4 linked regions of the Lonchura striata genome follow. The protein of the gene in region 3 interacts with the protein of the main gene of each other region in a pairwise test. Links are inferred from orthologs where the notes say so. Each region holds a gene or a part of one and is shown on either strand. Other genes may lie near its edges. The genes, in order: SLC25A6, AP1M2, AP2B1 and NEU4.

Region 1 (7,643 bases), on a different chromosome or scaffold from region 3:
TCTTAATTCCTATTTTATCTCAGGTAATTTTAACAACTGTCCTGTTTCACTTAACTGCTTTGTGATGTCCCAAACCACAATTTAAAACTTGTAACACAATACTTGCTAAAATATTATGCCTCCTTTTTCATACCTTTGTTTAATCTAACAGTGCAAACAGGCAGTCCATTTTTTAATTTCATATTCCATAATGAAAAGTCCTCAGCATAAATCCTGATAATCTCAGGTTGAGCCTTACTGCATTTCCTCATTTGAGTACAATAAAATAAACCAGATTTTTGGAACAATAAACTCTAACTCTGAGGATGGCTACTAGTAAAAAAGAACTTAATCTTGTTAAAGCTTTTTCAACAGCATTAACAGCTCCATGGATTTAGAGCCTACCTCCTTTGCGTCCTGACTGCATCATCATTCTACGCCGCACTGTATCGAAAGGATAGGAGACAACGCCAGCCACAGCCGTCACTGTCTGGGCGATCATCCAGCTGATAACAATGTGAGTGTTTCTGGGATCTGGGAGCATGCCTGCAGTGAAACAAAAATGGCAATTAGTTTTTTACCTTGCACATCCTCCTCTAGTGCACTCTCTGCATGACAGTTATTTTACTAGATAAACTAGTATGAAACACTGTAAACCCATAGTCTAAATAAAATTGCAGCATAACATTTCACAAACTTTAAACATACTGAAGCTGTATTTGGAAGACTTTCTTCTCAGTAATCACAGTTTAAGTATTTTAAGCACAAGCATTCTTTTTAGACTGGCATGAGAAGACTTGACTATTCACTACACTTTTATTAAAAATACATCACTTAAAGTCACTGTCCCTGTGGATAACATTACACTACAAACTAGCACTAATGGCTTATTTCCCCAGATGTCAAGCTTAAAAATTACTTTGCAGAAGGCACTGCTCAGTCCCATTCTGCTTAACACACTTGAACTGGTCCAACGTAACTTCAGTATGCACTGAACAAAAAATAAATTATTCTTATTCTGTCTGGTCACCAACATACTCTCCTGGCCTTAGTAGCAACTGCTTGAAGTACAAAACCAGTACTTGCAGGTAGGCTGCTCCCATTAATACATGTACAAGTTTTCCTTTGTATACAGCAGTGTCAGGGATGTGGCACTGATATCCCCCTTCACTTTCACATATCCAAAAACAGAGAATGCAATTCTAAAAACAGGTTTTTCAGATCCCCTCTGAAATATTACCTTTTGCTGTATCATAGATCCCAAAGTAGGCAGCTCTATAGATGATGATGCCTTGCACAGAGACATTGAACCCTTGGTACAAGCCACGCACACCATCAGACTTGGTGATTTTGACTAGACAGTCCCCGAGACCAGAGAATTCTCTGTCTGCACCAGCTTTTCCAACATCAGCAGCCAAACGGGTTCTTGCAAAATCCAAGGGGTAGACAAAGCAGAGGGAAGTGGCTCCAGCTGCACCACCAGATGCCAGGTTACCAGCAAAATACCTCCAGAACTGAGTGTGCTTGTCTACACCTCCCAGAAACACCTGCTTATACTTATCCTTGAAGGCAAAATTAAGAGCTTGAGTTGGGAAGTATCTGATGACATTTGCCAAGTTTCCTCGCCAAAAAGACAGCACTCCTTGTTCCTTTGGAATACGCACTACACAATCGATGATGCCCTTGTACTGCTTATCAGCAGCAATCTGTTTGCTTGCATGTTGCACCTGCAAGTAAAAATACAAATATTGATCACTTGCCTTTACAGGTCTATGCTGCAGCTGGGCTTAAACCTGCTTTTACTATAAAACAAAGTTGCTAATTCTGAATGGCCATTGTTGGTATTACAAAGAAGAAGACTAAAAATTGCTTTCAAGCTTTTCCAGAAATCAGAATTTGGCAAAACAAGAACAGAAAACTGTGAGCAATTCCTCTACTACCTGAAGGGAGACTGTAGCAAGGTGGGGGCCAGCCTCTCCTCCCAGGCAACTAGTGACATGACAAAAGAACACAGCCTCAAGCTGTACCAAGGAAGGTTTAGGGGGAAGCAGGGGAGGAATTTCTTCAGATAAGAAGTGTTTAGACTTTGGAACGGAATGCCTAGGGACTAGTGAAGCAACCATCCCTGGAAGTGCTTAAGACTGGATGAGGCACTTAGCGCCACAGTCTACTTTAAATTAGACTACGTGGCATTAGGTTGGGCTTCATGATCTCTCTGAGGTCTTTACCAAACTGATTCGGTGAAGTACAAGGGCAAGTATAAGACAAATACACCACGACAAATACGCCGGGCATACGTAGAGCTGAGAGCCTTTACTGACGAAGCCGGGCCTGGGGAGGGAGTCTCCCGAGAGCCGCGTTAGGGCGGCAGAGGTGCCCGCGGGGCCGGGGGAGCGCGGCGAAGGTCACTCGAGTCACCTTGGGGCGCCGCGGGTCACGCCGGGCCGCGCGCGCCGGCCGCGCCCCGGCCCCGCCCCGCCCGCCGCCCAATCGCGGCCCGGGCGCGCGTCACGTGGAGGCCGCCAAGATGGCGGCGGAGAGCGGCCGCCCTCCCCTCCCTGCCGTGCCCCGGGCGCCGGGAGCGGGGGCGGCAGGAAGTGACACCATCGGCGGCCGCCCCCCTCGGCCCGGCCCTCCCTCCGCTCTCCGCCCCGCATGGCGGGACCGGCTTCGGCTTCCCCGCGGCCGCTCACGTGACCCTTCCGCCAGCCGCCGCCGCCTCGCTCGCGCCCTTTGTCCGGCGCTGGCCGCGGCCCCCGCCCGGCCCGGCGCCCACGGGGGCAGCGACGGGCGCCGCCCGCGCCGCCCTCTCTCGCCCGCACCGCTGACCTGGAGCAAGAGCTTGACCCGCTCGATGGGCGCCACCGCCGTCTTGCTGATGGCGGCGGCGACGCCGCCCGCCAGAAAGTCCTTGAGGAAGGAGATGGCCTGGTCCGCCATGTTCGCGCCGCGCCGGAGCCGCCGGGAAGGAAGCGCTGCTGCCGCTCAAGCCGAAAGGGCGGGAGCGGCCCCGCGCATGGGCTTAATGCCGGCCGCGCCGGCCACGCCCCGCCGCCCCATTGGCCAGCCGCACGGGGGGTGGGACGCGGCCCGCCCGCGGCCCGGCCTCGCGCTCCGCCCCGCTGCGGCGCCAGTGTCGCAGCGCCGCGTCACCCGCCGCGGCCCGCCCGCTGCCCGCGCCATTGGCCCCGCCGCGGCCGCCGGCCCGAGCGCTCTCCGCCATCGCCGCTGCCGGTAGCGCCCGCCCAGCCTGCACAGCCCAGCGGGCCCCCGTACCGCCCGGCACGCAGGCTCTGCAGAGCGATCGATGGGCGCTAACTGTATGAGGTTCATTCAACAGGACCAAATGCCAAATGCACTTGGGTGACGACAACGCCGTGCAGGGCTACAGACTGGTGGCAGACTGGCTAGGAAACTGCCCTGCGTAAAAGGGACGCTGGGTGCTGGTGGCAGCATTGTTAAATGAGCCAGCTGGTGCCCAGGAAAGTCAATGGCATCCTGGCTAAGAGGACCAGGGCAGTAATCCTGCCCCTGCACTCGGCACTGGTGAAGCCACTCCTCGAGTACTGTGCCCAGTTCTGGGCCCTTTAGTCCAGGAAAGACATTGAAGTGTTGGAGTGGATGCAGATAAGGAGAATGAAGCTGGTGAAGCACAAGTCCCGTGAGAAGTGACTAAGGGAGCTGGGGCTGGTTAGCCTGGAGAAAAGGAGGCTCATGGGTGACCTTACCGCTCTCTAGAACCACCAAAAGGAGGCTGTAGCCAGGTGGGGGTCGGCCTCTTTTCCCACGCAGCCAGCGACAGGACAGCTAGCTGCCTGGAAAACAGCCTCGAGCCTTACATGGGGAGGGTTGGGTTGAACGTTAGGAGGAATTTTTTCACAGAAAGGGTGATGAGACATTAGAATGGACTGTCCAGGGAAGTGGTCTTGTGAAAGTCCCTTGGTGTATCTAAGCAAAGATGTGGCACTTGGTGCCATGATCTGCTGATGTGGTTTTGGGTCAGGGATTGTACTTAATGGTCTGAGATTTCTTTTCCTACATAACTGATTCTGTGATTCTGATTCTGTGAAGCTGAGTGTGAGCTGCTGGAGCACTGGCTTTGGGGTGTGGGTCTGTGGGCCCAAGCAGTAGTCAATGAGCAGCACATTCACAAGCTAGTGAACTAGCAGGCTCTGCAGCAATTGCTCGAAGCCCGTCTAGAAGGAAGACACAGCTTTCTGCATGGGCTCCCTGTGGGGCAGCAGCAGCTCTCGGGTGGAGGGGAGCAGATTTCAGGCACTGTCAGTTTTGCTCCATTCTACCTTCTGGGTAATGCTAATCCATGGCATATCCTTATTCCCAAGTTCTGTTCCCACCTCCTCCTTAGTACTGCCAGTGCCAAGGGTCACATCATGGGGCTTTTCTGTATATCACTGAACTGATCCAAGACAACGGAATACCAAAGGACTTAGCTGCAGTTTCCTGTGGGACCATAGGACAGGGTGGTTCCAACTTCTTGTATGGGCACTTGAAGTTAGATGTTGTGAAAACCTCCTCTGCAGGCTGTCAGAGCAAGCACTCCTGGCAGGCACTCAGGCCCTACCAAGACAGGTGTGGTTTCTATCAGTGACTTTGCTAATTTTACTGTATGCTGAAATTGATATTTTGAACTTGTCAAACTTCTGTCTGAAGTTATACCTATTCTTTCTAAAATGTGTTGAAATTGTTCTAGCTGGAGGGCATTAGTACACATCACCTGCTTTCACTTTTAGTGGGTGTTTCCAACCAAAGTAAATAAGGCCAAACCTTTTTTTTAAACAGGCGACTGGTGAACCACAAAGCTGCAGTAGCTGAGATGCCAGAAACCACTGCTTACACATATATGTAATTTGCAGGATTTCAAAATGAGAGCATGTCTCTCAAGAGAGCATGTTGTGAGAAGAAAAAGTGCCAGGCATAGTCTTTGTCTCTGCTCTAGTACAAGATATGTCACTATACTTTTTTTTTTTGCATACCAGAAGATCAAAAGTAAACTGTGCTCTTCTGAAGCATAATAGACTGAAGTGACTCCTGTGCTCACAGAGGGTTTTGCACATAGGGTGTTAGAAGACCATATTCTAAACATAATTTTATGAAATGCTGTGGTACATTCATTCAGGGAGGCACACATAGTTATGGGCTTTTTTTTAAAAAAAAGCCCATAACTGAATGTTAATACTCTCTTAGGACAATACTTTGTCTGCAAGACTTGAGATATTGTTCACCATAAAATTTTCTATTGATTTAAAAAGAACTTCACATTCTAAGACTCTTGAGTATCATCAGTGTGAAAAATGAAGGTAAAAGACACATAACTTGTAATGGGGAACTTGTTCAGTCTGTAATTGTCATGTTCTGTTCAGCTTGGGAGCTCAAAATTAAGTAGAGCTAAAACGGTGTGGGATGATGTTCCTGAAACAAACTCTGTGCCCTCACATTTAATCTCAAATTACAATCACAGGGAAAACTTGTGCTTTTTATATAACTGCCTTTTTTTGGAAGCCTCTCTCAAAGCAGAGCAGTCCATCTTGACTCTCTCAGGAAGCTGCTGCTCCAGTTCTTGTTTCCAATCTTACACCATTGCAGTAGCAGTTTCCAGAGTTGATTAGAGTATGTTTATTTACAGTAGAGGGTATAATATAAAATGATACTAAAATGGATGGTGATGTAGCATTAAAATGATACCAACATTAACCTCCTAGAACAGGGGCAAAGCAATGTGCGCTGGTCTAAAAACTCTACTATTCTACTTGCACCAACTATGAAGAAACAGTGATTTCTCGCAGTGTGAATACTGCCCTTAGGCTGATGACACCATTTGTGTCCTACACATGTTGTGCAGCCACAGAATCTCCTGGCATCATTCTACTGAAGTCTAAAATAAATGTAATCAATCTTTCCCCCTTTTGAGAAGTAACACCAAAAAGCTGACATTTCTCGTTACATTTCTTGTTTATGGTATTGATGGGAAGTTGAGAATGTATTTGGATAATTACAAAACATCAAACATAAGACATCCAGACTACTGCTTAATACGTTTTTTCTAGGTCTTAACACAGAGAATGGCATCTAACAAATTTCCTGTTATTCTGATTCTGATATCTGTGAATCCATGTTGTTCCAGCAAAGCTTGATATTCAGAGCCACTTCTCTCCTTTCCTTCTGTCTGCACAAGCATGTTGAAAGACTGCAGCAGAGCTGTGCTCCTGTTCTTCTTTTCATTATCCAACACCATTTCAACCAGCAAAATTGCACAGCCTAGTTTAAAAACAAATGCATGCAACAGTTCTAATCCATTATCAGGCAAGACAATTTCTGCTGCCATATAGAGGGGTGCAAACTACAAGACCTGGGTGATTTCCTTTATCATTTATAGATTTGCTCTGCTATTAAATCCACTAATCAATGAATAATCCACTCCTCTCACAAACCCCAGGAAATTCCCTTTCACAGTATGGAGTGATGAAACACTCACAAGTCAAATCACGTCTCTGTTTTCAGAGGAAAAAGGGGATAACTTCTGTAGACTTGGCATGATGACTATAGAAAACAGTAAGACAGGAATAGAGTTGCATTTCTTTGAGATATACTGCTGTTTCACATTCATGTTGAAATGCCAAGCAGAGAGAAGAGTGGATGGCAAGCATTACAGAAGCAAAGGAGAAGTCAATGTTTCTGTTCAATACATTCTGTATACATTCTGTATGTTATTTCTGTAGGACCTAAAATTCTTTGTGGTGGGACTGACCTAAGGATGAAAATAGAACTTAAATCATCTGATTTACAGACCCTTCTTCTCCATATTCAGACTTGTGAGGGGAAAGGGATGTGAAGAGAAGGCTACTGACAAAAGCATTGCGATACGTACTTGCCTTTTGGCCTTACACCACCTCAGATGAAAATAGCAGCAGTTCAGAGTGATTTTATTAGGAAGCGCAGTGTAACATTCATACCTTTCTGCACTTTAATACAATCTCCTCAGAGCCATTCCAATTTGTACAGCTCAGACATTCGATAATAATCAAAAAGTTTTAAAACTTAACCCCTCCTCATTCTTCATGTTAGGAAATCTTTCCTTAGTTATGCATATTGCTTAGAATCTTTTCAGTGTTAAGACTACTAAATCCACTCCTTCTACCAGTCAGCAAAAGATATTCAGAGCAACTGAAAAACTTAATTTGTATATTAGTAAAATGAGCTTATAATTCCTCAGGTGACTGGCTGCATCACATGATTGTAGAACACCTGAGTCTGAAACAGACCACAGGAGCTCTCTAGTTCAGCCTCCCACTCATAGCAGGGCAGCTCTGCAATCAGCTCAGCTTCTTTAGGACTGGCTTCACACATGGAAGCCTCCAAGGACAGAGATTCCACAACCTCCCTGGACCATCTGCTCCAACGCTTAATTATCCTGAGAGTGCAAAGCTGTGGTACATGACCACAGACACCATGCCCAAGGGACTAATGCTTATTGTTGTGTTTAATCACAGAGTAAATGAAGGCTGGGTGGTAGCCAAACACATTCTATTCAAATTTTACAGTCAGAGACATAGTACTTAGGGGCACAGTTTTAAAGTCTGTGACAGTTACAAGAGTGCCAACTTTAGGATTTGATTGTTTCTGATTCAAACAGCTTAGAGCAGCTT
Region 2 (6,932 bases), on a different chromosome or scaffold from region 3:
GAAGGGGATGGGAATTGGGGTGGGAACAAGGATTGGGGTGGGAAGGGGATGGGAATTGGGGTGGGAACGAGGATTGGGGTGGGATAGGGATGGAGATTGGGGTGGGATAGGGATGGGAATTGGGGTGGGAACGAGGATTGGGGTGGGAAAGGGATGGGAATTGGGGTGGGAAGGGGCAGCGGGGTGGGAAGGGGATCCCGTGGCCCCCTCCCCACGCTCACTCCTGCAGGATCTTGCTGTCCGTGGTCTGCGGGAAGCCGAAGTCCATCAGCTCGTCCAGCAGCTCGTAGACGATGACGAAGTTGTCGCGGACGCTCTCCTCCTCCAGCTCCTTGAAGTACTCGCAGAACACCTTGGGGAGGGGGTCCCAGCACCCCGGGGTGCGGGGAAAACCCTAAATTAGGGTGGTCCTCACCCCCAGACCCACCCGAGACCCCTCCCCAGCTCACCTCCACCACCTTGTAGAGGAAGGAGAAGACCAAGGAGGCGTTGCCGTTCTTCTTGGTGGTGGCCACCACTGAGGTGGGCTTAAGGAAAAACCCGAGGCTGGGGAGGGGTCCCGGGGTGATTTTGGGGAGGGGGTCCCGGAAGGATACGGTAGAGGTTGGCGTGTTTGATCCACAGGAAGTGGAGGTGGCCGCAGGGGAGGACGGGCGTCAGCGTCCCCTCCTCCTCGCGCTGCTGCAGGACCCCCAGGAAGTTCTCGATGTCCCCCAGCCCCACGTCCCCCTTGTAGCTGCGGCTGATCAGCGGCTGCGGGGCGGCCGGGGGGTCAGAAATGGGGACCCCCACCCCAATTTCCCCTCTCCCCAAGTTGCTCGGCACGCCTCGGGGTCGGGGGGGGGGTCACGGTCACTGAGAAGGGCAGAGGGGGCAGTGGGGAGACCCCAGCCCCAACAGAGGGGAGACCCCCACCCCAAGTAGGGTTTGGGGTGGTCGTGGGGGTGTGGGGAGGGGTCACAGTGGAGAAACCCCCTCCCCAAAATCCCCAAAATCCACGGGGTCACGGGGGGGTCACCACCACTGACCTTGGCTGACCTTCAGGGACAGAGGGGACAGTGGGGAGACCCCCACCCCAAGTAGGGTGGTCGTGGTGGGTGTGGGGAGGGGGTCACAGGTGGAGAAACCCCCTCCCCAAAATCCACGGGGTCACGGGGGGGGTCACCACCACTGACCTTGGCTGACCTTTAGGGACAGAGGGGACCCCAGTGGGGAGACCCCCAGCCCCAACAGAGGGGAGACCCCCACCCACATTAGGGTTTGGGGTGGTCGTGGGGGTGTGGGGAGGGGGTCACAGTGGAGAAACCCCCTCCCCAAAATCCCCAAAATCCACGGGGTCACGGGGGGGTCACCACCACTGACCTTGGCTGACCTTTAGGGACAGAGAGGACAGTGGGGAGACCCCCACCCCAAGTAGGGTGGTCGTGGTGGGTGTGGGGAGGGGGTCACACGTGGAGAAACCCCCTCCCCAAAATCCACGGGGTCACGGGGGGGGGGTCACCACCACTGACCTTGGCTGACCTTTAGGGACAGAGGGGACCCCAGTGGGGAGACCCCCAGCCCGGGCAGAGGGGAGACCCCCACCCACGTTAGGGTTTGGGGTGGTCGTGGCGGTGTGGGGAGGGGGTCACAGTGGAGAAACCCCCTCCCCAAAATCCCCAAAATCCACGGGGTCATGGGGGGGTCACCACCACTGACCTTGGCTGACCTTCAGGGACAGAGGGGACAGTGGGGAGACCCCCACCCCAAGTAGGGTGGTCGTGGTGGGTGTGGGGAGGGGGTCACAGGTGGAGAAACCCCCTCCCCAAAATCCACGGGGTCACGGGGGGGGTCACCACCACTGACCTTGGCTGACCTTTAGGGACAGAGGGGACCCCAGTGGGGAGACCCCCAGCCCCAACAGAGGGGAGACCCCCACCCACATTAGGGTTTGGGGTGGTCGTGGGGGTGTGGGGAGGGGGTCACAGTGGAGAAACCCCCTCCCCAAAATCCCCAAAATCCACGGGGTCACGGGGGGGTCACCACCACTGACCTTGGCTGACCTTTAGGGACAGAGAGGACAGTGGGGAGACCCCCACCCCAAGTAGGGTGGTCGTGGTGGGTGTGGGGAGGGGGTCACACGTGGAGAAACCCCCTCCCCAAAATCCACGGGGTCACGGGGGGGGGGTCACCACCACTGACCTTGGCTGACCTTTAGGGACAGAGGGGACCCCAGTGGGGAGACCCCCAGCCCGGGCAGAGGGGAGACCCCCACCCACGTTAGGGTTTGGGGTGGTCGTGGCGGTGTGGGGAGGGGGTCACAGTGGAGAAACCCCCTCCCCAAAATCCCCAAAATCCACGGGGTCATGGGGGGGTCACCACCACTGACCTTGGCTGACCTTCAGGGACAGAGGGGACAGTGGGGAGACCCCCACCCCAAGTAGGGTGGTCGTGGTGGGTGTGGGGAGGGGGTCACAGTGGAGAAACCCCCTCCCCAAAATCCACGGGGTCACAGGGGGGGTCACCACCACTGACCTTGGCTGACCTTTAGGGACAGAGGGGACCCCAGTGGGGAGACCCCCAGACCCAACAGAGGGGAGACCCCCACCCACGGTAGGGTTTGGGGTGGTCGTGGTGGGTGTGGGGAGGGGGTCACAGGTGGAGAAACCCCCTCCCCAAAATCCACGGGGTCACGGCCACTGATAAGGACAGAGGGTACCCCAGTGGGGAGACCCCCAGCCCCAACAGAGGGGAGACCCCCACCCACGTTAGGGTTTGGGGTGGTCGTGGTGAGTGTGGGGAGGGGGTCACAGTGGAGAAACCCCCTCCCCAAAATCCACCACTGACCTCAGCTGACCTTTAGGGACAGAGGGGACAGCGGGGCGACCCCCGGCGGGTTTTGGGGGTCTGTCGGGGGGTCTCACCTTCCCCTTGAGGTCCAGGATGAAGAGGGCGGAGGCGGCCATGGCTCCCGCGCCGTCACCTCCGGCACCGTCACCTGCCCAGGTGCGCGGCCGCGCCTTAAAGGGGACGGCCCCGCCCCTCTCCCCACACCGGGGGTCTCACCCCCTCCCCTGCTGGGGGGAGACCCCCCAACCTCGCCCACTCCACGGCCACCCCCAGCCCCACCCCTCCGTTTTGGGGTGGGGGGCGTGGGGTGACACCCAAAGGTGGGTTTGGGACCCCCGCGTGCCCCACGGTGGGGAGGGGGTCTCTGCGCCCCCAAAATTTCCTTTTTTGGGGGGGGGGGGGGTGTCCCCGCAGCTTCTGATGGCTGGATTCCCCACCCTGGGGGTCGCTGCAGCCCCCCCAGACCCCCTGTGCCCCCCACCCATGAGGGGTCTCCATCAGACCCCCCACCTTGGGTGGTCCCTGCACCCCCAGACCCCCCCCCCACGGGTGACCCCCACGGGAGGGGGATCGCTGCACCCCCACATCCTCCCCTCCGGGGTGGGGGTCTCCATGCCGACATCCCCCACTCTGCGTGACCCCCCCAAAAGCCCCCAGACCCCCCAATTCCCTTCGGGCACCTTCCAATTCCCGCACCCCCCCCCCCGCATCCTCCGGTCCCACCGGAGCCCCGGGAGGGGCGGGACGGGCCCGGGCCCGGCCCCGGGGGCGGATCGGTGCTGAGGGCCGGGCCCGGAGCCGCCCCGCCCGCAGGCACAGCCCGGGGGTACCGGGGATACCGGGGATACCGGGGGGGCTCCGGTGCTACCGGAGGAGCCGCCCAGAGCCGCCATGGACCGGCCCGCGGGCAGGAGGGACCCGGACGGCGATTACGGTACCGAGCATCCGCCCCGCGCCCCGCCCGGGGGTCCCCCCGAACCCCCGGGGTTGGGACCCCCGGCTTCGGGACCCCCATTTTGGGGAATCCCCGTTTTGGGGAACCCAGTTTTGGGGACCCCCCCCCCTTGGGGACCCCCGTTTTGGGGACCCCCATTTTGGTGACCCCATTTTGGGGACCCCCGTTTTGGGGACCCCCATTTTGGTGACCCCATTTTGGGGACCCCCGTTTTGGGGACCCCCATTTTGGTGACCCCATTTTGGGGACCCCCGTTTTGGGGACCCCCATTTTGGTGACCCCCGCGTTTGGAGACCCCGTTTTGGAACCCCCATTTTGGGGACCCCCGGATTTGGGGACCCCCACCCTTGGAGACCCCCACGTTTGGAGACCCCCATTTTGGGGACCCCCGCGTTTGGGGACCCCGTTTTGGAACCCCCATTTTGGCGACCCCATTTTGGTGACCCCCATTTCGTGACCCCCATTTCAGGACCCCCATTTCGGGACCCCCATTTCGTGACCCCCATTTCGGGTCCCCCATTTCAGGACCCCCATTTCGTGACCCCCATTTCGTGACCCCCATTTCGGGACCCCCATTTGGAGACCCCAATTCGTGACCCCCAATTCGTGACCCCCATTTCGGGACCCCCATTTCGAGACCCCCATTTCAGGACCCCCATTTCGTGACCCCCATTTCAGGACCCCCATTTCGTGACCCCCATTTCGTGACCCCCATTTCAGGACCCCCATTTCGTGTCCCCCATTTCAGGACCCCCAATTCGTGACCCCCATTTTGGTGACCCCCATTTCAGGACCCCCATTTCGTGACCCCCATTTCGTGTCCCCCATTTCGTGACCCCCATTTCAGGACCCCCATTTCGTGACCCCCATTTCGTGACCCCCATTTCGTGACCCCCATTTCGTGACCCCCATTTTGTGACCCCCATTTTGGTGACCCCCATTTCGTGACCCCCATTTCGTGTCCCCCATTTCGTGACCCCCATTTCAGGACCCCATTTCGGGTCCCCCATTTCGTGACCCCATTTCAGGACCCCCATTTCGTGTCCCCCATTTCAGGACCCCCATTTCAGGACCCCCATTTCGTGACTCCCATTTCGTGACCCCCATTTCAGGACCCCCATTTCAGGACCCCCATTTCGTGACCCCCATTTTGGGGGGCTCGGGCTCCCGGGCGGGGTCCCGGCGGTGTCCCCGGTGCCCGCTCCGGTACCGGAGGGAGGGAGGGGACCCGGGAGGCAGCCCCGGGCCCCTCCCCGCGGGCACCGGAGCCCCCCGAGCGGCGGGACCCCCCGTTTTTCCCGGCCCGCTCTTTGTTCCCGGTGCTGACATCACCGGCGGCCGCTCCCGGTGATTTATTTACCGCACGAGAACCGGGGCGGGGCTGGAACCGGCGTCACGGCGGCGGGGAGCCGGCACCGCCCGCCGCCCTTTTCCCGGCACCGACCGGACACTCCCCGCCCGGTACCGGCCTCCGGACCGGGTCTGGCGGGGCCGGACCGCGCCCCGGAGCTTCCCGGTACCGGGACCGGAGCTCCTCTGTTTGCCCCGGTGGCTGAATTCCCGGTAACCCCGGGACCGGAGCTCCTCGGTTTGCCCCGGTGCCAGAATTCCCCGGTAACCCCGGAGATTCCCGGGACCGGAGCTCCTCTGTTTGCTCCCGTGTCTGAATCCCCCGGTAACCCCGGAGCTTCCCGGTACCGGGACCGGAGCTCCTCGCTTTGCCCCGGTGCCTGAATCTCCCGGTAACCCCGGTACCGGAGCTCCTCGCTTTGCCCCGGTGCCAGAATCCCCCGGTAACCCCGGAGATTCCCGGTACCGGAGCTCCTCTGTTTGCTCCCGTGTCTGAATCCCCCGGTAACCCCGGAGCTTCCCGGTACCGGGACCGGAGCTCCTCGCTTTGCCCCAGTGTCTGAATTCCCGGTAACCCCGGTACCGGAGCTCCTCGCTTTGCCCCGGTGTGTGAATTCTCGGTAACCCCGGGACCGGAGCTCTCCCCGCTGCCCCCCGGTGCCGGTGCCCGCTCCTCCGCGCTCTCCCCGGTGCACCGGGGCTCCGCCGCTCCCGGGGCGGGGCTTGGCTCCCGTTCGTGCCCCGGAGGGCGGATTTTGGGGCGGGGTCGCCTGAGCCCTGCCCAGCCCGGTGCGAACGGGAACGGGAACGGGAACGGGTCCGGGATGGGGGGACACGGGGACAACTACTACGGCAAACACGGTAACGGCGGCGGGGGCGGCGGATTTTGGGGGGGTCGGAACGGCGACCGGAGCTCGGGGGAATTTTTTGGGGGGTCGGGGGGCTCCGTTCGGGGCTCCCGGTGGGTCCGGGGGGTTTTTTTGGGGGGTTACCGGCGGTTTTGGGGCGTTCCTACGGGCGGGCGGCGGGAGGAGAGAAACGGAAAGGCGGAAAAACGAACCGAAACCGGGCGGAAAACCGGGAGATAAAAAGCGAAAGTAAAATCGGCCGCGCCCCCCCCCCCCCGCGGTTTTTTGGGGGGCCCGCGGTTGGTTTTTTGGGGGTTTTTTGGGGGATTTTGGGGTGAAGCTCCCCGGTAACCGCAGGACCGGCCCGGCAGCCGCGGCCGGGATAAAAACCGGCTCCGGCGGTTCCGCGGCGTCACCGGGAGCGGCGGCCCCGGGGCTGGCCCGGGATCGGTTCCGGGGGTTCGGGGGGTTCGGAGAGGGGAGAGCGGCCCCCCGGAAAACGGAGCCCCCCCAAAAATATCCCAAAGAAAATGGGGCCCCAAAAATATCCCGAAGGAAACGAACCCCCAAAAATATCCCAAAGGAAACAAACCCCAAAAATATCCCGAAGAAAACGAACCCCCAAAAATATCCCAAAGGAAACGGGGCCCCAAAAATATCCCAAAGTAAACGAGACCCCAAAAATATCCCAAAGGAAACGAGACCCCAAAAATATCCCAAAACAAACGAGCCCCAAAAATATCCCGAAGAAAATGAACCCCCAAAAATATCCCAAAGGAAACGAACCCCCAAAAATATCCCGAAGAAAATGAACCCCCAAAAATATCCCAAAACAAACGAGACCCCAAAAATATCCCGAAGAAAATGAGACCCCAAAAATATCCCGAAGAAAATGGGGCCCCAAAAATATCCCGAAGAAAATGAGACCCCAAAAATATCCCGAAGAAAAC
Region 3 (7,293 bases):
CTTCCATGACCTTAAAGGCTGCCAGCAAAGCAGTAAATCATCTGTTCTCTAAATGCTGCCTTGTCTTGCCTCTAAACCCTGCAGGTCTTGCTGGCTCAGCAACAAAAGGACCAGCACAGCTTTGAACTCCAGGACTGCCCAGCAGCAAAGTCAGATTGTTCCTCCTTAACTCCTTCCTCCCTCATCCCTTCACCAACCCCAATGCCATCACCATTCCATTTTTCCCCATCCACCTGGACCAGCTGAACACCTCAGCAGTTGAATTCCAAGCAGCTGCCGACGGGCAATGCCCCAATTTCCACCCCTTTCTCCTGGGATCATCCTTTCCAATTGCCAAACATCTGCATGAGGATCAACCTGTTGCTTTTCCCAGTTTCCTGGAGCTGCTGCCTGCCCTGTGCCCACCTGGTTTCCACCTCATCCAATTAGGCTGAATTACTGGGTTTGGTTTGATTTCTCTCCCTTTCTGCTCCTGCCAAGCCTGGAGACAGCTCTGGAAACACATTCCTGGTGCAGAGGAGGTTTAACCTCCTTCCAAAACAGAGTTGGGAAAGCCATGTGAGCCACAATGAATGCAATTCTTCCAGCAAAAATCTAACAGCCCCCCCTGAAAGCAGAGGCTGCTGTGAAGCTTGTTTTGTAATTAAAATCAGAGCCTGTGCTCAGCTGCAATATTACTGCTGACAGAGTCCTTCAGGTTTGAGCTCAGCTTAAAAGGAAGACTTAAAATGTTTTTCTCTGTGAGAGTATTTGGCACAGTGCCATGCCCAAAGCACTGAACGTGGCCTTGATGTTTGCATTATGTGGGGATTTGTCATCCAGGGTCACATCTCAGCTGAGCTGCTCTAACACAGCTTTAACTGGGGCCAGAGCAGATTAGAGAGAAAATGGAGGGGAGGGAAAAAAAACCCAGCCCAAACACCATAAACATCAGCCCATTTGAATAAAGCCACACACAGAGAGGAAGGAACCCTGCTGGCTTTCAGAGATGGTTGTTAAACCTCAAGTGCAACATATTTTGCTGTTTTTCTCCTTTCATATACTTGGAAACATGAAGAATCCTAGAAACGCTCAGACAGGGCTAAGCACAGCTCATGCCTTTCCAACCTTCTTTCATGGATCTAAATGAGAGCTTAGGTCAACAACCAGCCTGCCCTATTCCAGGTGCAGCAGAGGGTAAAGCTCCTTTTCTCACAAGCACACAGATTGCTGCTTCATGTGTGTCAGAGCTTGCTTTGCACACTGTTCAGAGACAGCCTGCCAGCAGCACTGGCTATTATCTCATCACTAACAATCTCAGCATTCTTTACAGCAAATGGAACCAGATATTTAAAACACTGCTGTTTGTGTCACTGCAGAAAATGCCAGCTCCTTGTACGCAAATCTAAACCCAGGAGAGCTAAGGTAAATTAGAACATCAAGAACAGCCTTGTATTTTCAGAAGAAAAATCTACTTTAGACTGCCCCTCCTCACTATTGTTCTATGCCCAGCACTTGCTGAGATGGAAACAGGTAAGAGGTGTTCAAAGCTGACAGCAAAAGGCTCCTCCTGATCCAACCCCAGCAAAGGAGAAGAGATGAGAATGAGGAATGGCTCCAGAAAGCTCCAGCAATGCTTAATGCTACAAACAGTGGCTTGATATTTCAGTGTAGGCTGAACCAAAGCAAGATAAGCCTCCTCAGCCCCAACCCACACAGAAAACCTGACCCTGTGTCTGACCAACACCTGCTTGACCCCACACATGACCCCAGGCAGCCTCACCCGCTCCCCAGCACTGACCCCACACAGGAGGGTGACAGGTTTAAGGGTCTTGGATTAAGGCAAGCTCCTGGACACTGAAACCATCAATCCCTAAATCTCTCAACTGATCCCTGGTTTAATTCCAGTGTAAGTGGTGCCACCCATTTTTCCTGGAAAGCCTCTCAAGGAGCTGTGTGACAGCCCAAGTGTGGCCCAGGGCCACTGGAGAACCAGGAAGATAAACACAACAATGGAACATGGATGGCAGAGGAAGAGCTGCTCTGCAGCCCTGAACTTGTGCTGGCACAAGGATTTTGTTCCCATTCTGGAGACGCAACACCCCCTTGGTGGTCCCCATTCCACCTGTTCCTCCTACCACCTACCACCATTCCTTGGAAGCCCCATCCCAGCTTTGCTGCCAGCCCCTCCCACACCTCCAGCAGGACTCCCAGCACCCACCCACACTCCAGACTGGCATCCCCCTAAGCCCCCTGCCCACCAGACCTTCCCCAGATCTCTCCCAGGATCCCCCAGCTGCAGGCACATTCCCCACAAATCCCAGTTTCCCTCCCAGCATTGCCTGCCAGTCCCTCTTAGTACCCAGCCCTTATCCCTAACTGCTCCCACTGCTACCCCAGTACCTTGCTGTGCTCATTCCCATCCCAGTCCATCCTCCAGCACCCCCACCTCACCCCAGGACCCACTGACCCCACTCCTCACCCCTCCACCTCCTCTGCAACCACCTGCCCACTCCTCCCATCCTCTTCCAGTCCACCTCCAGAACCACTCCCAGTGCCTGACCAGCGACTCTCCCCACGCCACTCCAGTTCCCCCTCCCAGGAGCACTCACCCCCTCCCAGTACCCCCCTGGTGCCCCTTCCCACCCCACCCCAGGTGTCCCTCCCAGTACCCTTCATCTCTCCCAGTATCCCCTTCCCACCTATACCAGTGCCCCCCAGTATCCCCTCCCATCGTCCCTAAGCAGCATCCCTCTCTCCCCGCCCCACCCCAGTACCTCACAGCTTCTCCCCCACCCACCCCTCCCCACCCTATGGCAGCACCCCACCGCCGCCCTCCCCTCTCCCAGATCCCCTCCCAGCACCCGCTCAGCCCCTCCTCATTCCCCACCAGCGCCCCTCCCCGCCGCCCGGCCGCCGCTCCCAGCGCCCTCAGCCCCGGCCCCCTCACGGACCGCACTCACCGCTGCGGGGGCGGCGGCGGCGGAACCGGAAGCGGCGGGGCCGGGCGGGCTCGCGACGGCCCCGCCACCATAGAGCGGCGGCGGCGCGCGGCGCGCGCTTCCGGGAGAGCCCCCTGGCGGCGGGGCGGCGGGCCGGCGGCATGGCGGAGCTGGGCGCGCACCTCACGGCCGCCCCGGCCGGCGAGGAGCGGCCGTCCGTGTTCGAGGCGGTGGCCCAGGACAGCCTGATGGCCGCCGTGAAACCCGCCCTGCAGCACCTGGTCAAGGTGAGGGCGAGGCGGGCCGCGGGTGAAGGGAGAGGAGGGGGGGCTGGCGTGTGACTCCGGCCGCGCTCAGGGGCAGCGGGACGCTTGGGAGCCACCTGAATTGTGGTTGTTATGTGTAATAAATATAATTTGCGCCATTCCTTGTATGAAATATGTAATATTGAATACTTGTTAAATCATGCCCGTCGTATTAGTTCGCCCCGCACCCTTGCAGGCGAGACTGGGTGTATATTGGAAACTGATTTATAAGTAAAAAGATGTGGCTCGGCCAGGAGCTGGGCCATGGCTGGGCTCCAGGTGTTGATCATCGGTGCTGATCGTCCAAGATGGATATGGAAATCCTCAGACAGATCCATGTGAATGCAGCCTTCCCGTAAACTCTCATCAAGAATTCAACTACTCCGGACATTGAATTATTTCTCCTCATCACCAAAAAAAGAAAATCTTATTAACCTATAGACTCTGAATAGAAGAAAAGACTAACTGCTGGAATCTTGGCCTCAGGCGGAATTTTCCCTATAAAAACCGCTTGTACCAGGATGGAGGTGTGGGCATAGGAGAAAACCTCTGCTGAGGCTGACTCCTTGTTGCACACCCAGGGTCGATCCCGGGCTCGGCTCTGTCCTTTCTGTGTGGCTGGCTAGATAGAATTTGACCGCAAATAAAATTATTTTTATTTTTAATCTGGCTGAATAAATTCTCGTTTATAACATGGTGAGAATGAGAGGCATCGTTTATAGCTGCTCTGATTTATAATTTAGCGCTTTACTCTGCTTTTTACATCCTTCCCTTCCTCAGGCACAGGCTGCCCAGAGAAGCTGTGGCTGCCCCATCCCTGGGATGTTCAAATCCAGATTGGACGGGCCTTGGAGCAGTCAGGGATAGCAGAAGGTGTCGGGCTGGAACCGCATGATCTATAATGCTCCTTCCAGCCCAGACCACTCTGATTCCTCCTGTTTTGTGTCCCTTTTCCAACAGGTGCTTGCTGAGTCTAATCCTGCCCGGTATGGGTTCCTCTGGCACTGGTTTGATGAGATCTATGTCCTTCTGGATTTGCTGCTCCAGCAGCACTCCCTGGCCAGGTGCAGTGCATCCTTCTCTGAGAACTTCTACAGCATGAAGAGGATCCCAATGGGAGATGGCAGACAGCGACCTCTGGCCACAGCTGGCCTGCCAAAGAGGCAGCACTGGAAGTCTCTGCTCCTGCTGGTTCTTGTTCCTTATCTGAAAGGGAAGCTGGAGAAACTGGTGTCCAGCCTGAGGGAGGAGGATGAGTACTCCATCCACCCTCCCTCCTCATCCTGGAAGCGCTTCTACAGAGCCTTTCTAGCTGCCTACCCCTATGTAAACATGACCTGGGAGGGCTGGTTTCTTATCCAGCAGCTCTGCTACATCCTGGGCAAGGCTGAGCATCATTCCCCCATGCTAAAGCTGGCTGGTGTCCGCCTGGTCAGGCTGACTGCAGAGGATATCCAGGCCCTGGAGAAGAAATGGGCTGAAACCACCTCAAGTCAAACACACAGGTATGGCAGAACCTGGCTCAGGTGTTGCTCTCCAGGGGGTTCTGTGGGCATGTAAATTTAGAGATGATGCTGCAAGTACAAGTGCCTTGTTCTCCAAAAATTCAAGATGAAAGTTTGCTCTTGACAAAATGTGCTCCAAAAGGATGTATTGTGAGTGAAAATAAGTAAACCAGTAGCAGGGATTAGCTTTAAACTATTTTGTGGTAATATTTCAGAATTTGGGGGCGTTTTTGGGCATGGAAGCCTTTATTCTGTTCAGTCTTCCCCTGCACTTTTCCAGCAAAGGAGGTGCAACAGTTGCAGCAATGTTGCTGAAAGGATTGAAACTTCTTTCTTTGATTTTCCTAAGCAGCAGTTAGTCATGGGCACACTCAATACCCTGTGATGCAGGAGTGAAACACTCTGTGGTCCAGGATCCTTTAATCCAAATTCTTCTGATTTAGACTTCTCAAAAAAGCAGCATTTGGATATTCCTTAAAATAAAAAAAGTATCTGAAACATCCTAGTAAGTGCAAATAGGGGGACGCATTGACCAACTAACTTAGCGTTAAGGAGCTGTGTGAAGCAGTCACTCCCCAGGTGCTTTTCCCATGGTTTCTAGATGGATAAATGTGCAGTAGTAACCACCTCTCCTGCTTCTCTCTGCTCCAGCTTTATCTCACGAGTGCAGTTGGCCCTGAGGAAAGCTCTGGCTGGCATTGCCTTCTCCCTGTCCACCGGCCTGTCCGTCAGCGTGTTCTTCCTCCAGTTCCTGGACTGGTGGTACTCCTCAGAAAACCAGGAGACCATCAAGTCCCTGACAGCGCTGCCCACGCCCCCACCGCCCGTGCACCTGGAGCAGGAGCCCGGCTCTGCTCTCCTGCCCAGCCTGAGGACCGTGTGCCCCCTGTGCCGCAAGGTCCGCGTGAACGCCACGGCCCTGGCCACCTCCGGCTTCGTGTTCTGCTACCGCTGCGCCCACGGCTACGTGAAGGCTCACCAGCGCTGCCCGGTCACGGGCTATGCCACAGAGCTGCAGCACCTGGTCAAACTCTACTCCCCTGAGAGCTGAAGGGCTGCCAGGAGTCTCCAGCACCTCTTTGTGCATCCCTTGGAAGGCTTCAGAGCACCGCAGCTCCTCGGTGAGCTCTGCAGCGCCCTTGGACTCGGTGGTTGGTCAGCTTTGCTGCCTTTGCACACCCTGGCAATGCTCTGCCCTTTGCTGATAAGCTGTTCAAACATCCTGGCAGTTGCAGAGGGATCATACAGCCCCTGCCTGTCAGCCAGCACTGAAGTGCCATAAAAGACCAGCTGAAAGGGAGGAAACATTGATCCTCACATCTACATTCCTCTTATCCAAATCGAAGACCAGCACTGGTGCTGCTTGAGGGCGTGAGCCAGCAAATTAAAGAGGTAGGGAGATTCTCTAGGCATGTTTTTCTTCCCTGGGCAGCTTCCCAGGCCCTTGTGCTGCCCAGGGTGAGCTCTGGCTTTGTCAGAGGTGGAGACAGGCTTAAACCTGTGCTCTTCAGCCTCCTGCATTTTCAGGCTCTTCATCTTGGAACTGAGAACATCACCCTCCAAATTCCCATCAACAGTTCTAAATTAAGACTTTTGACTGTTTAAGATGGACAAGAGGAATGTGACATTTTCTGCACAAGAGAGAAAATGACAAACCAGATTAAAACAAACTCCCAATTGATGAGAGGGGTTTATTGTTAAAGAAGTCTTTTCATTCATTATTACCTGCTTTTATAAAGCGAAATTCTTTCTTGACTGAGAACCTAATTTAATTCTTTTCTGGTTATTGAAAAAACAGCTTGCTTCTCTGGGGAGCAAGAGAGAGACATAAGAGAGACAAGACTAAAGCTGCTTTCATTTTTCCATGTGATGGTAGTGGATGTAAGATTAGCATTTTGTAGGCTGAGAATCTTTAATGTCTGAGCATTACATTGCAATTATTCCATTCCCAACCATGTAGCACATTCATATCGGAACAAAACATCCTTCCACTGAACAGAGGAGGAAATAAAAGCTGTGTGACATGGCTGGCTCTTGCTTGACACCTGATTTTTCAGATGAAAGGTTGTTTTCCTTACTCTAGGGAGCAGCAGTACTCCAGATATCACGGTGACAGTGCTTAGAGAATACAAGAGCAAAGTCTGCTGCACAGAGTCCAGGACCCCACTCTGGTCTTTCCAGATTTAGAGATATTTTCTAACATTTAATCCAGACATCTCATTTTCTCTCCACTTTAGCTCTGCTTCAGAAGATAAAAATCCCCAATATCCTCCTTCACCTGTAAGCAAGAGAATAAGGTTATTGAATAATGTGGGAAAATGCAGTAATTTGAATCTTCCCCAAACACCTAATAAACGAGATTTGTTCCTGGTGCTTTATTATCTCTGTACACCTCCCTGACCCTTCTACCTGTGCCACTATGGAATAATAAAAACTCTGATTTATCTTCTCCAGTAGCTATGGAGTCCATGAAGATACTTCTCTTCCCTTTAGAGAGCCAGTAAGGACACACATCTTACTGGAAGATGAATCACGTCGAGGTGTGAGATTTTCTGAGCTTCC
Region 4 (7,409 bases), on a different chromosome or scaffold from region 3:
CACGGCGTCCCGGGAGGCGGCGCGGACGTACACGAGCGGCGCGGGGAAGCCGATGACGCTGCCGTGACAGCCGTGGGGCGGCTCCACCAGCCGCTGCACCAGCTGCCCCCCGTGGAACACGGCCCCGTCATCCGTGCTGAGCGCCTGGACCCTGAAGCCCAAGGGGCTGCGGGCGTTGCAGTAGAGGACGTTGGATCCGTCCTCCTCGTCCACAGAGACCAGCTGGCACTCGCCCGTCTGCAGGTTGGGGATGAACTCCCCGAAGCGCCAGCCGCGGCCGTGGTCGTCGCTGTAGAAGGCGAAGGAGTGCGGGGTGGTCTTGCAGAGCTGCCCGAAGCACTCCTTGCAGTCGATGTGGTAACTGTAGGCTGGCACCAGCAGCCGGCCGGAACGCAGCTGGATCCCGTGCCCGGGGCCCAGCGCGAATGTCGCCCAGTCTGGGGAGCGGAGATGGGATGGGGTGAAGGTGGGATGGGGTAAAGAGTGACCCCCACAGCGCCCTGCCAGGCCCCGTGTGGAAAGGTGCCCAGGGATTCCTCCCAGTCAAGCCAAGCAGTGGGGTGGGAGGGCAACAGAGCCCAGCGCTGCCTAGTTGTCCTCACACATGCTCCCCGTGGCTGTGGGGCCTCTCCATCTTCTCCCCACTCTCAGTAACTGATATGCATACTCCCTCCATCTTTTTCCCCTCTGCTTGAGGTCCTCTTCCACCTTTTTGGAAGCCTGTGGGATTCCTGCGTCAAAATCACCCCAGCAACGTCACTGGTGGTTCCAGGAGACCAAAACCCAGGGACACCCCTCCGTGCTGGCTGCTCTCCCCTCTCCTCACCCCCTGCAGCTGGGTACCTTTGATGGTCGCCCCAATGACCTGCTGTGTCAGGTCTGTGGCTGTGCTCCAGCTCAGGCCCTGGTCAGTGCTGGTGACACAGCAGAGGCGGGTGACATTTTGGCCAGTGACAATCTGGTAGGCTTCAGGCGTCCTGCCCAGCACCGTGATGAAGAAGAGGAAGAGCGTGCCCGTGAACTCATCGTAGAGGGGGCAGGGGTTCATTGACCGGTGGTGCTGCAGCGTTGCCGTCTCCAGCACTCGCATGTCTTCCCACTGCCCAGGGAGGAGGAGGAGGAGGAGAAGGAGAGGACAGAGAGGGGTGAGGACCATGCCCAACTTTTTGCTCATCCCTGAAGTGCTCCTGGCTGGGCTGGACAGGGCTTGGAGCAACCAGGGATAGCGGAAGGTGTCCCTGCTCACAGCAGGGCACGGAATGAAATGGCCTTTGAGGTCCCTTCCAAGCAAAACCAACCCGTGACCCTGGGATTCACTCCACCCACGCCAGCCCCTCTCCCACGCGGCTGTCTCCAGGAGCCTGGCTGTGCCCCACCAAGCGATGAGGACAGCCCCAGCGTGTCCCCACGCCGGTGCAGCCCCGTCCCACCTCCACGTAGCTGCCGTAGATGGTGCCGCGGCGCAGCACCAGCAGGTTGGCGTGGGCATCGTCCGCGCTGAGCCGCTCCTCGGCGAACGCCAGCAGCTTGGCCACGCAGGGCAGGTAGAGCAGGGCGGGCACGCGGTACGTGACACCGCTGGACTCCTTCTCGAAGAGCACGGTCCGGGCCGGGAAGTGCCGGGAGCCCATGGTGGCTGCAGCAGAAGGTTGTGGTGGGCCGATGAAGGAGGGGAGGCCGGCTGCTGGGCATGGCCAGGGGCACGGGGCTGTTCTTGGAAGGGTTTGGGGTTTTACTTGGTGGGCTTGGGTCTGGGTAACCCCCCGGGAGCAGGGGCTGACAGACAGGGCTGGGGTGGAGAGAGCGTCCACTGGCAAGTCACCACAGCTCAGAGATGGGTCAGGGCATAGTGTATCAGCAAGGAGGCTGACCTGGGGACCCCAAAATAAAATGAAGTGAATTTGATCTTTGTAATATATAATTTAGAATAAATTTGTGCTCGGGACTAAAAAATACAGTAGTCTTTTTAATAGAACCAAGTGATGGGAAAGAGCAATATACACAGGGTGAATTCCTGTCTCAAAATATGGTTATTCTGAAGGATTATTCTGTCTAGAAAATATGCCTTGAATGATAAGATAAATATTCATTGCCGGAACAAAATATTTGAAGATATTACCATTTAACAGGATTTTAGCAATCAGAGTATTCCAGGAAAACCTCCATTTAGAAACACCACAAGAAAAGTACACGCATGAATATGTGAAAAAAGGACAAAAAGAAACAGGAAGACACCTCCCCCCCACCGCCCCCCCCAGAATCCCACTAAGTCTAGAAACAGTATAAAACAAAGCCTGTAAAATCAGTACCCTGTGAACTACTAGGGTATAGTGCTGCATTAGTCCAGACCCTGTTCACCCAGCACCGATCGCCTGGCTCGGTGCTGACTTGCTTGTAGCTTTTCCAGATTTTACTTTGATTCAATTTAACGGATTCCTTTAGTTATTAAATTGACTGATTCATTTATAACGATCTTTAAGATGCTTGTCCGGGAAATGAAGGCCAGTGAGCGAAGAGCAGGGTGAGACCTGCAGCTCCATGCTCTCCTCCTGCAGCAGCACGGGGAGGGCAGGGACCTCCAGAGCAGCCCAGGCTCATCGGGACAGGGTCGGGGCTGCTCCTGCTCCTCTGCCGCCTCCAGCGCAGCGCACCCAGCGGATCCCTCGTTTCCCCCGCTCCCTGGGGGGATCCCGAGGTGCGCAGCACGGACAGGGGGGTCCCCAGCCGGGCTGTCCCTGCGGCAGTGGGTGAGAGCTGTTCCCAAAGCCCTTCCTTCAGGGACAGGTCAGCTGTCGCCAGCTTCCATGTCCCTACATTTTCCAGGAGGAGCTCGGGCGGAGCAGTCAGGAGCCGCTCTCGGCTGTGCGTTCATCGGGAGCTTTTGCTGAGCCGACACCCCCCGGAGAAAGGGAAGGCACTCACCGGGTCCTGCTCAGCGGAGTGTGCCGTGTCCCCGGCCGCAGCAGGAGGCAGGCTGGCTGTCCGCAGAGCTGCCGCGTCCCCGGCAGGGACCCCCGCCGGTCACGGGCTGCCCCGGCGCGGCCCCGCAGCGACGCTGAGCCAGCGGCGGCACGAAGGCGCCCCCGTGGCCCGGGAGAGCCCCGAGACACCTCGCCCGGAACCCCGCCAGGGGAAGCAAGGGGGTCCATGGGGCGGGAATCGCATCTCCTGCCTCAGTTTCCCTCCTCCTGCAGGCTGGGAGAGGCTACACTTCCCTGCCCAGGGGCTCCAGCCCGTGCTCACCACAGCCCACCCCGCCGTGAGCTCCCCAGCCTGGGAGCTGTGGTCCAGAGGGTCCCGGGACCCCCAGTCCTCCATGGACCTCCAGCCCTCCCAGCCTTTCCAGGATCCCCAGCCCTATTGGCACCCCCAGCACCTGAGAATGCACAAACTTCCCAGGAATCTCAGCCCTCCCAGGATCCCCAGACTTCCCAGGAGCCCCACATACACATAGATCAGCTACTAAGAAACCATTTTTATACCTATACTCTAATATTCCAATATTCCATCTGTATGATCAGTTTAGCTAAAAGGGCTTGACAAAATCCATAGGGCAAATCACGCATCAGAAGCTCCAAGGGGAAAATTGAGGTGGAGGCTGGAGAATTGCCAGGGAAGGGCCCCTGGGATGGCCCAGGGTGACCACGTGTGGCTCCAGCAGCTCCGCCTGATTGCCACAAAAGCCTCGGGTTAATTTTAGTGAGGGAAAGTGCTTTTAATCTGGATTGTTCCTGCTGGACACCTGGGCTGGTTAACCCCTGCCTCAGCTGCTAAACACAACTGAGGAAAATCCTGGCTCTGCTTCTCACCCCTCTCCCCCTGACAGCATCATTCCTGCTTCCTAGCTGGAGCTGCTGCCCCACATCTTCACCCCCAAGGCAACATCTGGACCCCAGATGCATCCTCCCCATCCTGCCATCCAGGGCCCTGCTGCTGCAGCAGTGCCAGGAAGGTTTGTGAGGATGGCAGCACCAAGCCAAATGGATTTGGTGTCACTGCTTGTCACCTGCTCCCAACACTTCTGTCAGTGCCAACTTACGCTGACAAAACCCCAGTGTTTTAAAGCTGGGCCAGCATCTCCTCCTGCTTGTGCTGGTCAGGACAGCAGTAGGGATCTGGATGTACCAGTGTGCCCAAAGCTGTCCCTCACTCCATCCCCTCCTAATCCCTGCTGGAGAGTTTGGCCAACACAGCAATGGGAGCCCCAAAAACGTGTCTGCTGATAAAGGGCTTTGGGGATGCTGCACCCAATGGAACATCCATGCCCGGGCACCCTTGCCTGAGAGCAAAGGTCAAAACCACGAAACCCCCTCCCAGGGGAGCACCGAGCTCTCCTATGTGGGACAGTGTCCCATTCACCTGGTGACACTTGTGAGAGGCACAGCTTACATGCCACTGGGCAAGGCAGCCCAGCCTGCCTGGCTTTGGGCAGGATGCCTGAGACCCCCACACCAAAGGCAGCTCCAGCAGCGTGTGGTGGTTAGTCCTCATGAGCGTGGACTCCTGCTTCTTCCAGCACTGTGTCCCCTTCTCACACCGCCCTCCCTGTCCCCTAAACCCTCCAAAGTCAGTACTTGCTCCAGTGAGCTGTGACCAGACTGATGGATATCAAATAAAATGAAATGAAGGCAAATGATCACGCTCCCGATTAATGATTAAGAGGCTGGAATATCTTGACCAGTTGCAGCCAGCCTGGCTCCCTCCAGCCAGAAGCAGGCAGGTGGGATCACCCAGGATCTGGATGATGCAAAGCCTTTGGCTCAAGGTCCCCAAAAAGAGACCAGCCACCAACTTGGTGTCCCTAAACAAAGCCCCCACTGCCTTCCTCTCAATGCACAAGAGTCCTGTGGGTCAGTTACATGTCAGACAAGGGGTGATGCAAAGCGGTGGGAAGCCACAGTGTGTTGCCACATGTCCTAGTTGGACTGTGGGAGCTGCATCTTCTCCTGGAGACTGGTCCACAGCAATGGCAGCCCCACATCCTTCCTCTTCTTGTGCGGGTGTTGGACAGCATAAAGGTAGGACGTGTACTGGAGCTCTGGTATGACCATTTTCTGGCAGGTTCTCAGAGTCTTGTTGTCCAAGTCTTGTTTGAGGTTGTAACCCAGGATATTTGCAGCCCCTGACTGGAAAGGCAGAAGAGCTTTATTCCTGATGTGATCCTTCCTCACTGCCTCCTGCTCTGAGAGACAAGTCTCCATGAGCTCCTTCTGTCTGGTCCGCAGGTGATCCACCTCCTCTCCCAGCACCCTGAGCCCTATGGTCTGCTCAATTCTCCTCCAGAAGCTCTGGTTGAAGTGCAAGTAGAGCTTCCAGTCCAGCGAGCACCACACTTTTATCTGCTCCTCGCTTTCCGCAGTCAACGTCTGGACAGTGTCCTGGCTTCTGGAATTGAGCTTGAAGTAAATCACATCATCCAGGTCCCAGCACAAAGTGTGCTTCAAGAGGATCATGGACTCATCAAAGTAGTCTGCTATCAAGATGAGGTGGAAGTTCTGCTCGATCTCTTCCAGGACAGCCTGGGTGTAGTTCTTGTCATCCTTCGCGTTGTTATCGTAGCCAAAGTCAAACCACATGATATTCCTGGCGTACATGTTTTTCCTGTAATCTGCTGGGTGGTAATACTTTGTGGGTGATTCCAGGAATTCGTTCACATTCTTGGAACTCCGGAAGGCAGGCACAGAGTCCTTGTAGTAGATGTAGGAAGACTCCAGCAGAAGAATGGGGTTCCTCAGGATGGAGAAGTAGAAAGTGTTGGCTGCCATCACCTTTTTTACCTATTTGTGGAAGGAAGAAGAGGTTAGTCCTGTCCCAACCAAGTTTCTCCTCAGGTGTCATGGCTCTTTCTTACCTCCAAGGGGTTAAACCGCAGGTGATTGCACATGATGTTGTAATTTTGGCCTATGGTTTCAAAGCCCTCCACAAAGTGGGCCACAAAAGTCCTTGGGTATCCCAGGTGGACGAGCTGGTCAGCAGGGAGGGCGACAGTGAGGTTGTACCTCTCTGCGAACCTGAACATGATGTTGAGCACAGTGCTGCTGGCAGTCTTGTGGGTTTTGAGGAACATGACGTTCGTCTTGGCATGGCACAGCGTGGGAGGGATCAGCAGCTCCTCGTGGCTCTTCGAGATGCTGCAGGAAGGTGACACATGGGGCAAAGAGACTCTCTGGTGCTGCACCCCATCTCTGAGACCTGGCAAAGCCACACCCAGGTGCTCCTCTGACACCACACCTGCAGATGGTCCAAGGCTTTATCTGAGTCAGCCCCAACCCTCTAGTGTAGAGGTTTTCCCCCTCCAGTTTTCCCCCTCTCCAGATTCTCATTTACCAAAGACTTTAGCTTAATCCCCTTTCCCTGCACAGCTGGTTTGGTCCCTAAGAGGCTGCACTTTGGCTAAATCAATTCCTTCCCCAAACACGGATCTAAGACCTAGTTTTAAGCCACCACCCTTTGAACATCAACCCAAGGCCTCATGAGAAATAAATCAGGTGTCAGAGATCAGTCCCAGCTGCTCCAGGTACAGGAAACTGTGCAGCCTTGCTTCTGACTCACCTGTAATTCTTATTCTTCATATGGAGGAATCCTGAGAGGCAGGAAAGTCCCAGGCAGAAACTGAAAATGATGAGACACCTGGCATGCCTGGGAAAAAAAATAAGTTTCAGTGGATTTTTATCCAATAGTCCTCCAAACCACCGCATTTCACATCTTGCCCTTGGGAACTTTAATCAATGTGAGCACAGTTTTAAATCTCAGTTTTGGCAGCCACCTTTGGACCCCAAGCTGTGTTAGAGGCAAGACAGTGAGAAATTGCACTTTCACTTTTACTCTCCTAATTCAGCCTTTGGCAAGACACAATGTGCTTCAGGCAGAGCCTAAGCTCTTCCCACAGCCTCCTGCTCTGCTTGGCTGCCTTTTGTTTTGCTTTTCTTTTGGTTTTCTGGGGCTTTAGAGCTTATTCACTATTCAAACTCCTAGATTATTCACCAGAAAACGAGCCCTTTGTAGGGACATAAAGACTTCCCTGGCAAGAAACCTGAGCAGCTCCTGTAATCACATCACTCCAGAAGATGGGGATTGCAAAAAAACCCACTAAACTAAGGAAAAAAATCCACTAAACTGAGGTTCTTTTGCAATATAAATATGATTTCTCAAGGCAGAAAATCAAATAACCCAACAGAACCTGTAATGGTTTTATTACACCTCACTTTGAAAAGGGGGAGGGTGGATAATGATGAGGGTGGAGTATTTTCCAGCGCTAATTAAGCAACCATGATGTATCAAAGGTTCCCTGCACATTGCAGGGGGTTGGAGTGGCATGATCATTAATGTCTCTTCCAATTCAAACAATCCTATGATACCATGATAACCAGTGTACTCCAGCTGGGACTCAGAAGGGATCTTTTGAAGGT

Evidence for each region.
Region 1: the proteins of AP2B1 (region 3) and SLC25A6 interact in binary tests that used the Homo sapiens proteins (3 or more experiments, as listed by UniProt). The link is inferred for Lonchura striata from reciprocal best matches to the Homo sapiens genes AP2B1 and SLC25A6.
Region 2: the proteins of AP2B1 (region 3) and AP1M2 interact in binary tests that used the Homo sapiens proteins (3 or more experiments, as listed by UniProt). The two-hybrid records come from large-scale screens. The link is inferred for Lonchura striata from reciprocal best matches to the Homo sapiens genes AP2B1 and AP1M2.
Region 4: the proteins of AP2B1 (region 3) and NEU4 interact in binary tests that used the Homo sapiens proteins (3 or more experiments, as listed by UniProt). The two-hybrid records come from large-scale screens. The link is inferred for Lonchura striata from reciprocal best matches to the Homo sapiens genes AP2B1 and NEU4.

The regions. Positions count from the first base shown.
Region 1 is NC_134604.1:83,189,235-83,196,877, reverse strand, and holds the start of SLC25A6 (ADP/ATP translocase 3), read right to left. Parts: upstream 3,019-7,643; 5' UTR 2,920-3,018; coding exon 2,809-2,919; intron 1,707-2,808; coding exon 1,220-1,706; intron 526-1,219; coding exon 385-525; intron 1-384. UniProt on the Homo sapiens protein: ADP:ATP antiporter that mediates import of ADP into the mitochondrial matrix for ATP synthesis, and export of ATP out to fuel the cell.
Region 2 is NC_134623.1:1,063,554-1,070,485, forward strand, and holds the start of AP1M2 (AP-1 complex subunit mu-2), read right to left. Parts: upstream 3,001-6,932; 5' UTR 2,946-3,000; coding exon 2,904-2,945; intron 754-2,903; coding exon 597-753; intron 518-596; coding exon 450-517; intron 353-449; coding exon 222-352; intron 1-221. Other genes in the region: SLC44A2 (choline transporter-like protein 2), read left to right, coding at 5,959-5,995. UniProt on the Homo sapiens protein: Subunit of clathrin-associated adaptor protein complex 1 that plays a role in protein sorting in the trans-Golgi network (TGN) and endosomes.
Region 3 is NC_134622.1:5,985,506-5,992,798, forward strand, and holds the start of AP2B1 (AP-2 complex subunit beta), read right to left. Parts: upstream 3,018-7,293; 5' UTR 2,943-3,017; exon of another isoform or gene 2,934-2,942; intron 2,894-2,933; exon of another isoform or gene 2,870-2,893; intron 1-2,869. Other genes in the region: PEX12 (peroxisome assembly protein 12), read left to right, coding at 3,083-3,208, 4,187-4,731, 5,383-5,782. UniProt on the Homo sapiens protein: Component of the adaptor protein complex 2 (AP-2). Adaptor protein complexes function in protein transport via transport vesicles in different membrane traffic pathways.
Region 4 is NC_134612.1:5,205,121-5,212,529, reverse strand, and holds the start of NEU4 (sialidase-4), read right to left. Parts: upstream 3,011-7,409; 5' UTR 2,923-3,010; intron 1,637-2,922; 5' UTR 1,632-1,636; coding exon 1,431-1,631; intron 1,100-1,430; coding exon 844-1,099; intron 438-843; coding exon 1-437. Other genes in the region: GAL3ST2 (galactose-3-O-sulfotransferase 2), read right to left, coding at 4,917-5,777, 5,852-6,131, 6,553-6,639. UniProt on the Homo sapiens protein: Exo-alpha-sialidase that catalyzes the hydrolytic cleavage of the terminal sialic acid (N-acetylneuraminic acid, Neu5Ac) of a glycan moiety in the catabolism of glycolipids, glycoproteins and oligosacharides.